2 linked regions of the Drosophila melanogaster genome follow. Changing the gene in region 2 together with the main gene of any one other region gives a genetic interaction. Each region holds a gene or a part of one and is shown on either strand. Other genes may lie near its edges.

Region 1 (7,918 bases), on a different chromosome or scaffold from region 2:
AAGCTCCCCAAAATCACTACCACTATCAATACCCCTCAGAACCCTATTGCTCTTAACTGAAGGAAACTTAAACACACAAACACCACTTAAAGCATATTTATATATTATATACATATTAAAAGAGACAACAAACAAAACTAGTGCAGCATCATTTAATGAGAGAAGGAAGAACATATTTATACGCAACCAACAAACTTGTAAATTATAATGAAAGAAAAGAAAGCGAAAATAAACATAATTTTTTAAAACTATCAACTTAATATATGTATGTATGAAGCCATATGAAAACACCTTAGCCGTTATACGTGTACCATCGTCAGATAAATAGTCAGGCATTAAAGGTCGTATATTGAATTCAATGCACTGTACATGGAACTCGTATACCACCTTTTGCCATTTTCTAGCATTCTTTTTCGATTGACTTTTGTTTGGGAGCCTAAAAATTAATAGTTTCAGAGAAATCCTAAATTTTCGCTAGGGGAAAAATAAAAAGCGAAAATATGGAAGTCTATGTTGTGCACGCAAAAGAAAAAAATAGTTAATATAATTATGCTTCCGTGCCGAACCAAATATTCTCGAAAAATATATACAAATTACCATTCGATTAATGGACTTCCCATTTAAAGAAATTTAATTTGCAGAGAATAAAAATGATTTTGCTTGGTGGTAAGATATTTGGCTAATTGGTTTTGTCTTCGGATCCTGCAGGGTATACTTGTTTGCCGAATACAAATACCATATAAAAATGGTTTGTTGATGTGATATATTTTCAGTGTCCTAAACACATATTTTAAGTACTTAAACGATCCAATTTTAAAGTTTTCGCGAATAAAATGGTTTGAAAACGTTCTAAATAACCCTGTCAATCTATTGTTATTACCAATCATCTCGGAAAATAATGCCCGTTTATTTATTGATCAAAACATTCGCTATTTGTCTGATAATGGCTATATGTATAAAGCTATATGATGTACTAGATATACAGTATGAATCAATAGGCAGCTTGGTTTAGCTCTGTTTTGAATGCACTTTTCTATACCTAATATGTACATATATATACACAAGTATTTTGATATATATACACGTCTATGTATCGGATAAATCAAAATGTAGAAATCGCTTTTGGTATTTGGTAGTCGAATTAATTTGGAGCATTTAATTTTGGATCGTTTCTTAGATAATTCCTTGTTTATGATGTGCGAAGTTAGCGGAATAAATTGTTAGGAAACTTACCAAGTTTCCGCAAAGATCAATCACTTGATAGGTAAATACTAATGTACTGAGCCATTTCTTTGATATTACGTGATATGAGTACTAAACTACTAAAAAGTTGCCTGCAGCTAATACCCACTTCCCAAAAACACACATCTCCGACTCTGAACGAATTTGATTTTTACCTACACTTCTCCATGAAACGCGAAAAGTAAAGCTAAAATCAATAAATTGTATGTGGAAATATATATTTTAAACAAATTTTTTATACTTATTACAAATATACATATAACGAGGAAAACCAATATAGCATTAACTATACAAGGACAATGCAAATTTTTCGTGTTGTTTTGCAGTCTTTTAAGTATATAAAAGCAGGAAAAACATTGAAAACCAGTAAATCAAATTTCATAATTTACATGAATAACATTGCATAAACAATTAACCAAAATTTCCTGTATAGTTAAAAAACTCATTTGTATTATATATGAAATATTAAAGATACACAAACAAATTACGCTAAAATTAATATTTCTATGACGAAAATGGAATCCGGAGAACAAGAAAACCGCACTAGTTTATATAAAGTAAATTATAAAAAATATACATACATAATTGACTTTAAATGTTGAAAAACAAAACCAAAACCAAATGAAAAATAACCCATGCATTGATTAATGTATTCAAGAACGGAAATTTACATATTTACGACTCAAAAAGGACAGAGTGCGGAGCAGATCAAAGATAACAAAAAGCGTTTAATGGTTGGCAAGCAAGCAGTGCACGCAGGCCTTTTGCTATTTGCAGGTATAGCAGTTAACATTGTTAACTGCGGCAAAGCAGTTTTAACACTAAAGTAAAGCGAAACAATTTAATTATAATAGAGCTAAATAATAATAAAAAGAAAGCGAGCGAAGACGTACTCAGAAATATTTTCCAACAGGAATGTTGTAGGCATTATATCGTTTGCGAACGCGAATAAAGTAAAATAACAACAGAATTATTGTGTAAAAATGGTTTATTATTAATGTATAAGTATAACAGCAAACACAAATGGTAACTTAAAACAATGTAAGCAAACCAAGAAAAACAACCAACAAAAAAACGAAAAAAATATGAAAATTGAAAAAAACCAAGAAAAAATTAAAACCAAAATAAATGAAAAATTATTACAAAAAGCTTGTGTTTTTTTGGCCATATATGGAGCTGCTTTAGTAAATTGATACATTTTTTTGTTCAGCAAGTTACGATAAATAATAAGCTGTGCAACAAAAAAACAAAAGAATTAGACCAATTACGGTGGGCTTGATTATACTAATTAATAGATCATGGGTCTCTAACAGATATCTCACGATCTGTCCACGCTCCCATCTGGTTTTACCGACTCATTTCCCAAACACGACTAAATTGGTGTTTTGGAGGTATCCTTTGTTTCCGTTGTAACCGTTACACTTGATTTTAATTTCACAAATACCTATGTTACTATCTACAATACATCTTAATACAGTTGATACAAATGCTATTTTCAGTGCCCCGTTTACTCAAGTTGGAAAAAACTCTTTCTGCTATAGAGGTGGCAACCCTAAATAAGGCTTACATTGCAAACCGTTAGTTACATATGCTACCTACCAATTAGCCAGGACGCAAACCCAGACCGCAAAGCAGAGCTTTTGCTTCCGGCCATCTAAATAGCGCCAAAGTAAAAGTCGCGATCCTACATCTTGGCTAAGGTCAGGCGCCTTTTAATGCTGCCCAAAGTGAACGGATGCAATTACTCAATTACTCTGGCCTTTGTGCATTGTCTGTAGATGCCAATATGTGTATGTGTGTATATATATATTTATGCTGAGCCCAAGACAATTAGCGCTATTGCCAAATGAAACAGCGGCGCACAGGTGAACGTTCGCGAGTGGGAGAGCGAGCTTTAAAAGCAGTTTTCTTGCTACTTACCTGCTTAACTTGCTGCTCATGTCTGGTCTTCGTTAGTGGGAGAATCGGAAAGAGCGTTGAAGCATTGGAGCACGGGAGCGTAGAGCCCGCGCAAGATATTCAAGTGAATTACCAAATCCCGATTCCGTCAGTCTGCGAGGTCGCCTCAAGCGCTCAACACCTGTGCGCATCTAGAAAAAAAACAGAAACCTACCTAAATACCAATCCAACCCAATCAGTACTACCAATAAGGACAGGCTCTTAAATCAAACGAAGTGAAAGAAAAGTGACTGAAAAAGTGAAAAGCGGCATGCAAGTGCAGAAACCCAGCCCAACCAGATGAGCCCAACCCACAACCCAGTCGATTGAGATTCCAAACGCGACACATGCTGCTGGTGCTGGAATAACAGTTTTAGCCAAGAGAGCTGCTTGTTTTCGACCACAAGTGGTCAGAGAGGAGAGCCGGAGCCCGCAGTCTTTTAGCTGGTTCGGGAGATCTGTGGAAAACCAAACAAACCAAGTAAAATCGAAACAAAACAAACAGAAAACAAAAGCAACATGAATCAAACGCAAGTAAATAATTTCCTCAAGTGCTTCCTGCAAATCGATGAGCCGTCCAACCGTTGGACATCACGTCACGACGGGGAGGATCTCGATGATAACGACCATGATCATGATCATGACGACGACAACGACGACGACGAGAGTGGCGTTCTGGTTGCCAAGGTCACAGCCATGGTGGTGCTATTTTGCGCCAGCGCGATCTGCGGGTCCATTCCCTTCTTGCTTAACCGTTGCTATCGCTGGACGGAAAACCAGACGAACGCACGATCCGCCATTGTGGTCAAATGCCTGCTGTACTTTGGAGGCGGCGTCCTGCTAGCCACCACCTTTCTCCATCTCTTGCCCGAAGTTCAGGAGGTCGTCGAAGAGCTGCAGGAGTGCGGCATCATCGGAGAGCTCACTTTTCCGCTGGCCGAGCTTCTCATGTGCTGTGGCTTCTTCCTCATGTACTTCATCGAGGAGGCCATGCACACGTATGTCCATCATCATCAGAAGGATGAGGCTGGCGCCGCTTTCGAGCGGGGTCACAGCATCCGAAACAGCCACCTGCTGAAACCCACCGAAGGCAACGCTACCACACCCACAGCCCCACCGGCGCCATTGGCTGGCACCGCTGAACTTGGAACACTATCGGTGCAGAATCTCCTGCAAAACGATCTGGAGCAGCAAAAGTTTGCTACCAAGCCACAGCAACAAGCTAATGGACACGGACACAGCCACGGGCATGGACATGGACATAGCCATCTACCAGTAATCGCAGACGATGCCGATGCGGGGGACATGTTGGCTTCATCTCTGCGCGGACTCTTCATCGTTTCCGCTCTGTCGCTGCACGAACTCTTTGAGGGCATGGCCATTGGCCTAGAGAGCTCCGCCAGTTCGGTGTGGTTTATGTTCGGTGCCGTTTCCGCACACAAATTGGTCCTGGCCTTCTGCGTGGGCGTCGAGCTGATCGTGGCCAGGACCCGGATGTTACTGGCCGTTCTCTATGTGTTGACCTTTGCGGTGGTTAGCCCTCTGGGCATCGGAATCGGGATTTTGATAAATCACGGCGAAGAGACATCCGGACCCAGTCTGGTCTCCGCCATTCTGCAAGGATTCGCCTGCGGCACGCTCATATACGTGGTGTTCTTTGAGATACTCTCGAAAAATCGATCCGGTCTGCGCGCCTATTTGGCCCTCTTCGTCGGCTTCCTTGTCATGTTTGGCCTGCAGCAGTTGAGTAAGTATCACATTTAAATAATAATTACATGTTGTGGCCTTTGAATATGCAAATCGTAGGGATTTAGTGAGACAGAAATTTGCGATGTAAAATACAACTCGGTCTTGCCACTTAAGGCAGTTTTCAATTAATTATATATTGCTTTTTATTACGCAAATTTACATCAAATGATGATTAGTGTACATTTTGCTACTTAACCAGAAATATTGTTTTGTTAGTTTACTTACATTGATATCTATGAATTGCCTAGACACATTAGACCTTAGGGACTCCTGCTTTAATCATTTATCCTTTAATTGGTGATACTTAATAATAAGCAGGCTTAACGGTGATTAGTACGATCGTCGCCGTGTGCGTCAGATGAGATTCTTTAACCGGAATCGATTCGGGGAAATTGGGAACAGGTTCTATATAGCTGATCTGCTAAATGCTGCGTGGTTGACCTTGTAACAGACCTTGCTGTGATTTATTTTGCATACTCATATACAAGACGGCTTGTCAGTCTGTGTACCTAGAGTAAATGTGAAATAAAAATCCCGTCCCTGCCATGAAGTCATCTCGCAAAAATCAGGGGGTTGCCCATGCGAAAAAGCACCGTGAAAACCGCACTCGCAATTGTATTGATGAGCACGGGATAAAAAATCAGACGAGAAGTTTAGGCCACAAATATGTGATTACCCGAAAGTCGGTTAGGTTTTTATATGGTCTAGGGCCAGATAAGGCAGGACAAAACGCTCATAAATCATTGCGTGGAAGTGGGCTGTTGGAATTGAATTCCCATGCTACCATGACGAAAAAAATGTTAAGCAATCAAGAGAGAAGTGTGTAAATCACCATGAGGAAACAGGGTCTACCCGATAAGGATTGGCATTCCTAACAGCATACATTGTTCAACCCTATAACGTGTCACTAACCTTCCTTATCGCTTACAGCTTCCATTGGCGGACATGGTCATAGCCACAGCCACAGCAGTTGCTCCACGTCGGAACACACACACAACCACCAAGAGACTGAGACTGAGACCAGGTCAGCATCGGGCCACACCCATGGCCACCAGCACGACCATGATCATCCACATCACCACAACCACGCTGAGGAGCTGGCCACGGTTCACAACTATGAACAGCAGCTGCAGCTCTTGCGGCAGGTGACCCAAAAACTGCTTGAAGCCCACCCCAAGAAGGACGCCTAGATTGTACCCTGCTCAGCAGAATACTAATTGTATATGTATTTATGTGTATTATATATTTGTACTGTGTAAAAAATAGTGAAAGTAGAAACAAAATATATATTAAAAAACTGAAGCGATTAAATTCTGACATTAAATGCAATTGCTAAACTGGGTCAAAAAATAGTAAACGCTAAGAGAACTAGAACTCTTATCTATGCCCAGTATTTGTGGCCTTTACAGTCTTTTATGAGGTTACAGCCATTTATGACTTCTACAAAACATAAATTTAGAGAAACAAATAATTTATTTTTGTGAACTTATAGTTAAACACAGAAAAAGCAACAAGGAAAGTACATAAAATATTACAACATTCCCTAATGTTCAGGGAGCTTTTAAAATTTTTCTTCTTAAACAATAAAAACAATTAGTGATTCGACATTAGGTTTCATATTAACTGAAAATCAAATTTGCCCATATTCAGTGGTTAGCGGTTACGTACATATAACAAAGTGAAGATACTCGTTTTTAAGTGAATAGATCGGACATATCAGATTGAAAAAGTCATTAGCAAATCCGAATCGATTGATTAATGAAATATGTCAATAAAGCTAAGGTATGTTTAATTTCAAAATTTGGCTTAATAGTAACTTAATTAGATGAGTAAGCGGTTTATACGTGCTCTAAACAAATATTTCAGGCATTTCAAATTGGGTTGAATTCTGAAGTTTGATTGCTTATACGAATATTTTCGAGAATACCCGCTATAAAACGAAATACGTGCCTGGGCATAAAGTTCCACCATCAGATTGCCGGCAGGCCCCGTTTGGGAGTGCGATTCTCGACATTGTGAAATTTCAGCACGATATCTCTCTACTGCTCTACAGTTTGCGAATCGTAAAGTGGCTTGGACTTGTTGACGAGGCCTTGTTGCCAGGTATATATTAATCATGTGATCGTCTTGTTTTGTCGCATAGGCCACAATAAATACAAATTTACAGCTGATAGCTTCGTTGCTTGCGTACATTTTTTACACGATATCTCCACAAAACTCGCTGCAGACCGGTTTCCGAGCTGGCCCCGCTGCTGCTTCTCACCAGACGGACCGCTATCTCTCTGTTTTTTGATAACTGCGATAAGCGCATGTTCTCCGCTCGAGCCGAACTGGAAGCCCAACATCATGCCCCCCCCATCGATCCCCAAATGTCCGGACTGCAGCGGAAATTAGCGCGTCAAGTGTCAAGTGTGAATTTGCGAGGCGGTAAACATGCCTGACAGCCGATGAAAACATCTTGGTGGCTCAATTAGCGCCATCGGGTGATCTTATTTACATCTGTGCTGTTGCCGATGACGATGCCATAGATGCTCAGGTTATTGGGAACTCAACCCCACCCCGTTGTATCCAACGGAACTCACCTTATCAAGTGCGCATCACTCTCTCTTCGCCTTCGCTATCCGTCTACAGATGTTATCAAGACTATCTCAGCGGAGTGCACACACGATGAAGTGTGGCAAAATCGTGGGGCTAAAGGCTTAACGGCAAACGGAACAACTAATCTCTAATATTCTTGGCTGATAGGCAATATTATCATTTGAACTCGAGCTCTTGAACCATATATACCAGAGGAGTGCCGCCAGTAAATCATATAAAACAGTGGTATGCGATAGCCCAAATACAAGATGTGAGCAAAAAAAAAAAAACTTGTTTGTTCTGATTGAGGCTCTGATAACCGGTAGTGAGTAAACGTTATTTCCGAAATTGAACTTTCGTTTTATATGAGTAAGGATCACTCTTTTGAGTTAGAGAGTTGGCCATTAAAAAC
Region 2 (7,796 bases):
TTTGCTCTTCGAGTTGGCTCTGAACCCTGGTTGATGATTGCAGCACTCACGCTGCATATCAAATTCCGTTTCCGAGCTCTGCAATGGGCCGCACAATTTGTTCGTAAATATTTGTGTGTGCATGCAAGTAGTCCTTTGGTTGTTTCATTTACCTGGTTTCTCGCACTGTCACCACAATCGCCCAACAGTGGCACTTCCCAGGTTTGCTCCTCTGGAACCCGGACGACATTTGACCCAATTGTCACCACCTCCCTATTAACACTATTGTTGTTAACGCTGTAATACCTATCTTGGTAATCTGACAGTCGATCATCTCTAGTATCTGGATCCTGTTGGATTCCCAAACTTTGATGATTATCATCAAAGTAACCCGGGAAACCCCCTTCAGAGTCGTCATCGTGAGCGTTGGGCAACAGTGTGTTGTCAAGCTTCTGATATTTTGGCATGTTATTTGGTGTCAAATGGTGAACTTATGCTATTAATATTTCAGTAGTGTCGGCATCTCCTTATGTCGACTTGTGAATTTGATGTTTGGTTAACGAGAAGTGAGCAATTAATGTAAACTGAGAAGTCCGGCATCTGTCATAGTAAATCAATCAGTTGTTGTGTAGGAAACTGATCACTTCTCTTTGGTTCAGACTGTTGAAAAGCTTACATTCGACATCCTTTTTTTATGAAAATATGTTAAATTTTATTAAATTTCACAATCTTATTTAAATGATGGTTCTGATATCTGATATATGACCCTACAATATTTCAAAAATGTGGGCGTGGAAGTTTTGGGTGGGTTTAGCGCGTTAGAGTGGACGTGGCAACAAACTTGCACTGCGTCTTTGTCTCTAGAATCTGTATGTTTAATCTCAACCTTCTAGCTATTATAGTTCCAAAGATCTCAATGTTCATACAGACGAACATATATTTCAAAAGTAAGTGCGTGACACTTTTGGTTGGTTTGTAGACGTTAAAAGGGCAAACATGTATGCATTTACTGCTATGATATATTCGCTAATGGGAGTACTAAAGTAGTGCCCTCAAAAATACCAAATGCCTTATTGTCCTCAAAGGATTCCCTAGTCCCAAGACCCTTACCCCGACAGTAAGAGTTAGGTGCAGAAAATTTGATCTTTATTGTATATATGGACATATTAGAAAGGTTATAGAATATAGATTAAAAATAATTGGAAGCCATCTATGGGCTAATATGATCTGTCACGAGCTGGACCTTCAAAGAGGATATACATCGACAAGCACATGATGCAATGCTAATCCCTCAAGCCCTCATAGGAATCGTGTGTGAAAATCGTGTGTTTACTTTGTCAGTAAGTTTTCTTAGTTATAACATTGTAAGTTACTGTTTAATTAACAAATAATGTTGTTCATTGTATTAAAAGTACATTTCAAACCATTATCACTACATTTACATTGAAGTCTATGGGACTAGTTAGGTAACAGAGAAAAGATACACCGTATACCTTTGAATAAGGATACAAATTAATGGTAGCTCTTTGATTGCTTAGCCAAGAAAAATTACTATTTGTCTTCAGGGTAAGAAACTCGAAGAAGATCTTTAAATAAAATTCATAAATATTGATTATTGTAGGTAAAGTAGAAATATGAAAGCCAGACGAAATCGAAAACATTATGGCAACTAAGAGCAAGTCGGTCAAAACTCCCGAGGCCAACAATGGTATCTCTTTTGGAAATTAGTTATAAACATTTTAATATTGATAACGTAAATAAAAAAAATGATAACGGGTATCTGATAGTCGGGGAACTCGACTATAGCATTCTCTCTTGTTTTCCTTATGTCTAGGGAAATGTGTAACAAGGGCAGCATTTAAAAAATAATTTTCAGGGAGAGGAATTCATGATCACTTCCAGCATCCTATTTATGTAAGCCCCTTTATGTAAACTTCAAGCTAAGCGTGCAAGAAATTACATAGAAGATTATATGGTCCCATATGTTAAACCCTGCTTAAACGTGGATTGCCTAAACGTGGATTTTACAAAAATTTTAAATAATACAGTGGTAGTTTATTGCAGATTAGAAACGTTTTCATTTTAAGTTAACTCTTAAGGAACTCTTATAAGGTAAATTGATTATTCTATACAATGTACGTATAATGATAGCTAAACAAAATGTTGTTTATTATACCCGTTACTAGTAATGTAAAAGGGTATACTAGATACGTGGAAAAATATGGAACAGGCAGAAGGAAGCGTTTCCAACCACATAAAGTATATATATTCTTGAATAGGATCTGGCCATGGCCGTCTATCCGTATGAACGTCATACTATGAACGTCTTGATTTCAGAAACTATAAAAGCTAGACGGCTGAAATCAAGCATACAGACGCAAGTTTGTCGATTTTTCTTCGTTTTATTGTTTATCTTGTCAATTTTTAATTTTTTTCATTTCATTCTCATTTTATTTTATTCATTTATGAATAATTTCGCATTCGCAATCCCACTAGCTGAGTAAAGGGTATCGGATGGTCGGGGAACTCGAATACAGCATTCTCTCTTGTTAGAATTTAAGGACTAACCAATTAAATTTATTACACTCCACAACTTAAGTAATGTAGATATGCATTTATCAACAACGGATCGCACGTTGGTGGAACTCTACTGGCAATTTAAACCTTTTTCATTTGATTCATGTATGCTTATCAGCAAAAGTAGTCCTACTAGCTTGTGTGCCGTTGGGTTATCAGCGTTGGGTTTTCTCGGCAGGTTTTGACCGAAAGCATATTGTTGCCAATCAAATCGCCAGAAGAGCTTGTTATTATCTTTGATAGACAATAAGATACCCTTTTCCTGTCTAGTTGGAGGGCAAGAGATGAATATCGAGAGATATCGGGAACTATAAAAGCTACAGGGTAATCAAATCGCTATGTATGTAAGTTTGATTCAAAACCTTACCATTATCGCTTAAGCTGACACGATCACATTTTGTATTTTCATTTTGTATATTCTACCATTTGTCTTCCCAAAAAATGTAAAGCCAACAAACGGCTAAGGCAAAGAATCTAAAATTGTTAACAATCCAAACATTTTGCGACTGTTATTATGGTTTCGAATATCAAATTAAAACAGTGTCGAAATACTGGTATTGTAAAACTAGTACTATAGTAAATAGTAGTAATAATAGTAATAATAGTAATAATAATAATAGTAACTAGTAGATAGTAAAAACTATCTCTCTGAAAACTGTATCCCTAATCTCAACTCTTTAACTTCTATAGTTCCTAAGATCTCGACGTTCATACGGACGGACGGACAGACGGGCAGGGTCAGATCGACTCGGCTATTGATCCATATCAAGAATATATATACTTTTTCAAAGAATCTAGTATACCCTTTTACTCTACTTGTAGGCCACGGAAAAACCCTTGCTTACGCTTCGCAAAAAAAAAAACGAGTTTGCAATGGGCTCGGGAAAGGATTCAGTAGGAAAATTGACTACAATATAAGCAAGTGGAGGTTTTAGATTGGCTAGATAGTCCAGATCTAGGCCCCATAAACAATATTTGGTGGCTAATGAAAAGAAAGCTTCGAATGAACCACAGAGGAACATTTGTGACCTCAAAGAGATGTGGGTATCGATTTCTCGAGAACATGGCCAAAATTTTTTTAAATCAATGCCAAAACGTATTTAATGTGTAATACAGCCCAGGACGCGACGTTACACAATTCTTATGTTAATTAGTCTGTTATACTTTGCAGCGTTCGAATTAATAGTGGCCTTTTTTTCTTATCTCTGTTGTTGTTGTTGAAAATATAACATTTTTTATCAACATGAAGAGAATAAAATTCTCTTTCAGACTAAATACTTTTGCATACGTTATCTGTAGTAGTAATGAGTATACATATCGTGTGTTGAACATTGCACACCGCAAAAAACACATGCTGTTCGAAACACAATACAAAACAATAATAGTAGTTGGGGCTCGTATTTCATTTTCTTGGCTAGGTGTTCTAGAGCACCTTTTTTTTTGGCATATTTAACCCATTATATTATATACATATATACATGTATATATAACATAATATAATTTCTAATAGCATGCATACGTGTATTAAAATTGATGTGGTTTGTAATCTATTTGATTTGTAAATATGTAGCTATGGGACGTAGCGTTTTGCGAGAAAACTACCAATAAGAATTAGATCCTCCACCAACCAGAGAGTTTAACCGCAAGTCAAAGCAAAGTAAAGAAAACAATGCCGGCGCTGAGCGTGCACTGACCTTATCAGCAGGTTTGACTTTGGCAATGAGTAATAATTTCGACCGCGGCTCTCTTTCTCTCATATGTTTCTACTCAGCTGCTGATGCTGCACATAACTATGCACATACATATGAATGTACATATGTACGTTCCGTTGGAAAGAGAGATCACAACGGAGCGCCCATTCGTTGTATTCACTCTCACGTATCACACTGAACCATTGGCGTTAGTCTCATTTAGGCTTAATTGCGTAAAATTCTGATATTAAAAACATATTCATTTTAAACTCTTCAGAACATTAAAATTTAAATCATTATTATGACTTGTTCGTATCCAATCGTATTTTGTAAATCTTCCAGTTCCCAGCCATATGCGCATTGCATGGACTATGTAAACAAAATATGTGAATGTACGAAATACTCAGTTGAGAGACTACAATAATGTTCCGCTGTCGTGCACTATCAGCTGGTGTTCTCTTTTTATCGTACACGGCCCTACTCGCTGTAATTGTTTTAGATTTCCGATCGTCAGCGACTGCTTACTTCCCGGCACACCCGGCGACGCGTGAAGTTCAACTAACAGCGGTGACGGCGTCGCCTTCTCAGTTGGTTTCTGGGTAGAGCGAGACAGTGATAGTGGGGGCATTTTTCTCTTGAGTGGCGACGCTTGAGTGGTTCTCAAAGGACTTGGGAATTGCGTCTGTTGTTCGCTTATCAAAATAAGAGAGAAGAGTCTAGTTCCTCTACAATCAGAAATATCATATACCCATCACTCAGCTAAGTGGAGTCAGAAAAGAATGTGCCATAAGTAGGATCGTCGAGATCTCTGGCACTATAAATGATAGAAGGTTGACCCATGTATCCATTTTCCAAAAAAATTTTTGATACGCCCACTCTAACGTCCTGAAGCTGCCGAACCGGTCAAATTTTAAGTTTTTTCTCATTTTATTCCCCAACATCTATCGATATCCCAATAAAAAAAATAAATCGTGCAATTTCGGGTTCGCATTCACACTAGCTGAGATAGTCGGGGAACTCGACTATAGCATTCTCTTTTCGTTTATATTCTATTTCTTAATTTAAAAAAAAAAATCATTAGGCATCTGAAAGCCAAAAGCAAAAAGGAAGTTCTTAACGTCCTTAACGTCCGATCCGAAGACGCTAGACACTGATTATGTATATGTAAGGTACATATCAGATCATTTCAATTGGTTTCTTTAGTGTAACCGGAAAATTAAGTCGACGTTATCTACACTTTTGTGCTCGCGAACGTGATTATAAACACAACTCGAAGACTAAAAGGTAATCTTTAAAAATAAGGTTCAAGATAACGTTTCTGGCGCTATAAAAAATACATTTACACTTTATGACGAGTTTCGATATCGGGGAACTATAAATCGACACAGTTGAGACTAGACTTATCAGCGGTTCGATCCTTATCAAGTTCATCCACAGTAAAGCAGTATTATCAAATACTGTTAAAATTAAAATATGTACATAGTAATATGAAAGGCGTTTATCCTTAAAAACAAGAAAGTGGAAGTAAGATATAAATTTTTCAAACGGATTTTCTGGATCATATATTCATATTCATATTCGACTCTACAATTTAGTTGATATCAATGGCGCTTAAACACCGCTCAATTCATCACTTTTTCAATGTGTTTTAATCACTATATCCGTACTTATTTTTGAAGAGAGAAATTTCCATCGTCTTGTTGTCAGGTTCTTTTCAGTTTACGATTAAACTTAAAGTAAAATATATTATTATACCTTTAAAGATTTCTTTCTGCTCATGAAATTATTATATTACCTATAATAAAAATCGCAGGAAATCCGATAATCCATTTCGTTTTCTTACTTTCTTTTTTCTCATCCCCGCCCCATCCTTTTTATCAAGATGCAAAAGCACTTAAGCAAAATCTGCTTCCCGGAATGTGGTATTTCTTATTACAACGGGACCAATTAAAGGAGATTGTTATAAAACAGTTGTATGCAGTGGTGCTTGTCATAAAGAACGGATGAATAATCGAATTTTCTTTGGTTGTGTTTTGATTTGACAAAGAATGTATGTGTATGAATGTATGTATATGTATTAAGCAAATGCACTTTCGACGATCATTTAGCTAAGTTATTTCAAACAGAATAGCTATGCTTAGAGAAAACATTGGTGTGCAAATTGGAAGAGGAATTAGAGTTGTTAATTAGGGTTAATTAAAGTTAATAGGTGGAGTTTGTAGCGACCCCTGAAGCTATTATGTTAGAACACCCTGAAAGCTTGAGCCAAGCTTTGGGCGTGTAATCAAGGGTCATATTAAATGCAGTATTAGTCATAGGAAATATACTGGACGAGATGCAAATCTTTATCAGCTGAACTAGGAAAGTTTTGGATAGCTTGGTTATCACAAATGGAGTGATTTCCAGATGATCATGATTTCTTCTGATGGCCTAGACCCAGGCTTGAGTTTCCGTTCTATTTCTTTTCTAATCGAACCGTCGTAAAGTCAATTCGTGAACATTTTTTTCATTCAACTGTTTTTTAGAAAATTATAGCCTGCGCGCGTTAATGATATAATAATCTAGCGAGCTTTCCTCGCCGCAAAACGGTATGCGGTCTACATTTTTTTTGTGTGTTTTTTCCCAGGCGGAAACTTAATCTGGAAAATCTTTTGCTTGGAGCAACAACAACGCCACGCAAAAAAAGTGAAAAGTGATCAGTCAGTGATCAGCCGGCTCGTGGAGCACCCTTTCGTGCTGTCCCGGGGAGCACCCCGTTGAGCTCCCGTGGAGCACCTCTTTCCATCGATTAACAGACATAAACAAAACCTACGATTTTTATTTAACTTTAACACATGCTGGAAAGATACATAACATGTATATTAATAAAAAAAAGTTACGCACGTGGACGAGATATAAAGGAGATATGAATACACTAGGAGAATTCATCTGTTGAAGTAAACATCTAAAAATAAATTTAAAAAATATAAAGATGCTTGCTAAATTCTGTCATACCTAATCCTATACCTGCGTGAAAGATACCAAACTGCGAATCTACAGTGAAATTTTCCGAATAATTATATCCGCAACTATTTGTATTATTTGTAATAATTTATATAAATATGTACCCCAGGTGGAAACTTATTTTACATTACTTCTGTATTTTTAATTTTTTTTAATTAAATTTCCGTTAGGATTAAATATTTTTTTATATTATTTAACTTAACCTAATTTAATTATTTTCCCTAAGATGAATGTAATTTTAGAATTTTCGGGATAAATTTTGCAAAGATAAGTTTATTTAAATTCGTTTTGGTTCGGAAAATTGTGGAAAGTATGTATGTGTTCGTATATATTCGTAGTGTTTGTGGAAAATTCCACGATCTTATTTCAGCTCATCTGCGCCGGAAGATCGATCTTTTGCCGAGGATTAAAATTGAGTGTATTTTGTCTGTATTAACATTTACATATATTGGAAATAATGCACAAAAGCAATAAAGAAAAAAGAATTTCTAATTATACACCGGAATAAATCTTGGAAGCTAAATAAGCAAAAGTAAAAAATTTTTT

The links. A genetic interaction does not mean that the proteins touch.
Region 1: of ZnT41F (region 2) and Zip89B, changing one enhances a phenotype caused by changing the other (phenotypic enhancement), as found in Drosophila melanogaster (one study listed by BioGRID).

What each region holds. Positions count from the first base shown.
Region 1 is NT_033777.3:16,302,472-16,310,389, forward strand, and holds Zip89B (Zinc/iron regulated transporter-related protein 89B), read left to right. Parts: upstream 1-3,286; 5' UTR 3,287-3,699; coding exon 3,700-4,927; intron 4,928-5,859; coding exon 5,860-6,119; 3' UTR 6,120-6,229; downstream 6,230-7,918.
Region 2 is NT_033778.4:5,778,049-5,785,844, forward strand, and holds the start of ZnT41F (zinc transporter 41F), read right to left. Parts: upstream 4,811-7,796; 5' UTR 4,729-4,810; exon of another isoform or gene 4,251-4,728; intron 666-4,250; 5' UTR 447-665; coding exon 153-446; intron 79-152; coding exon 1-78.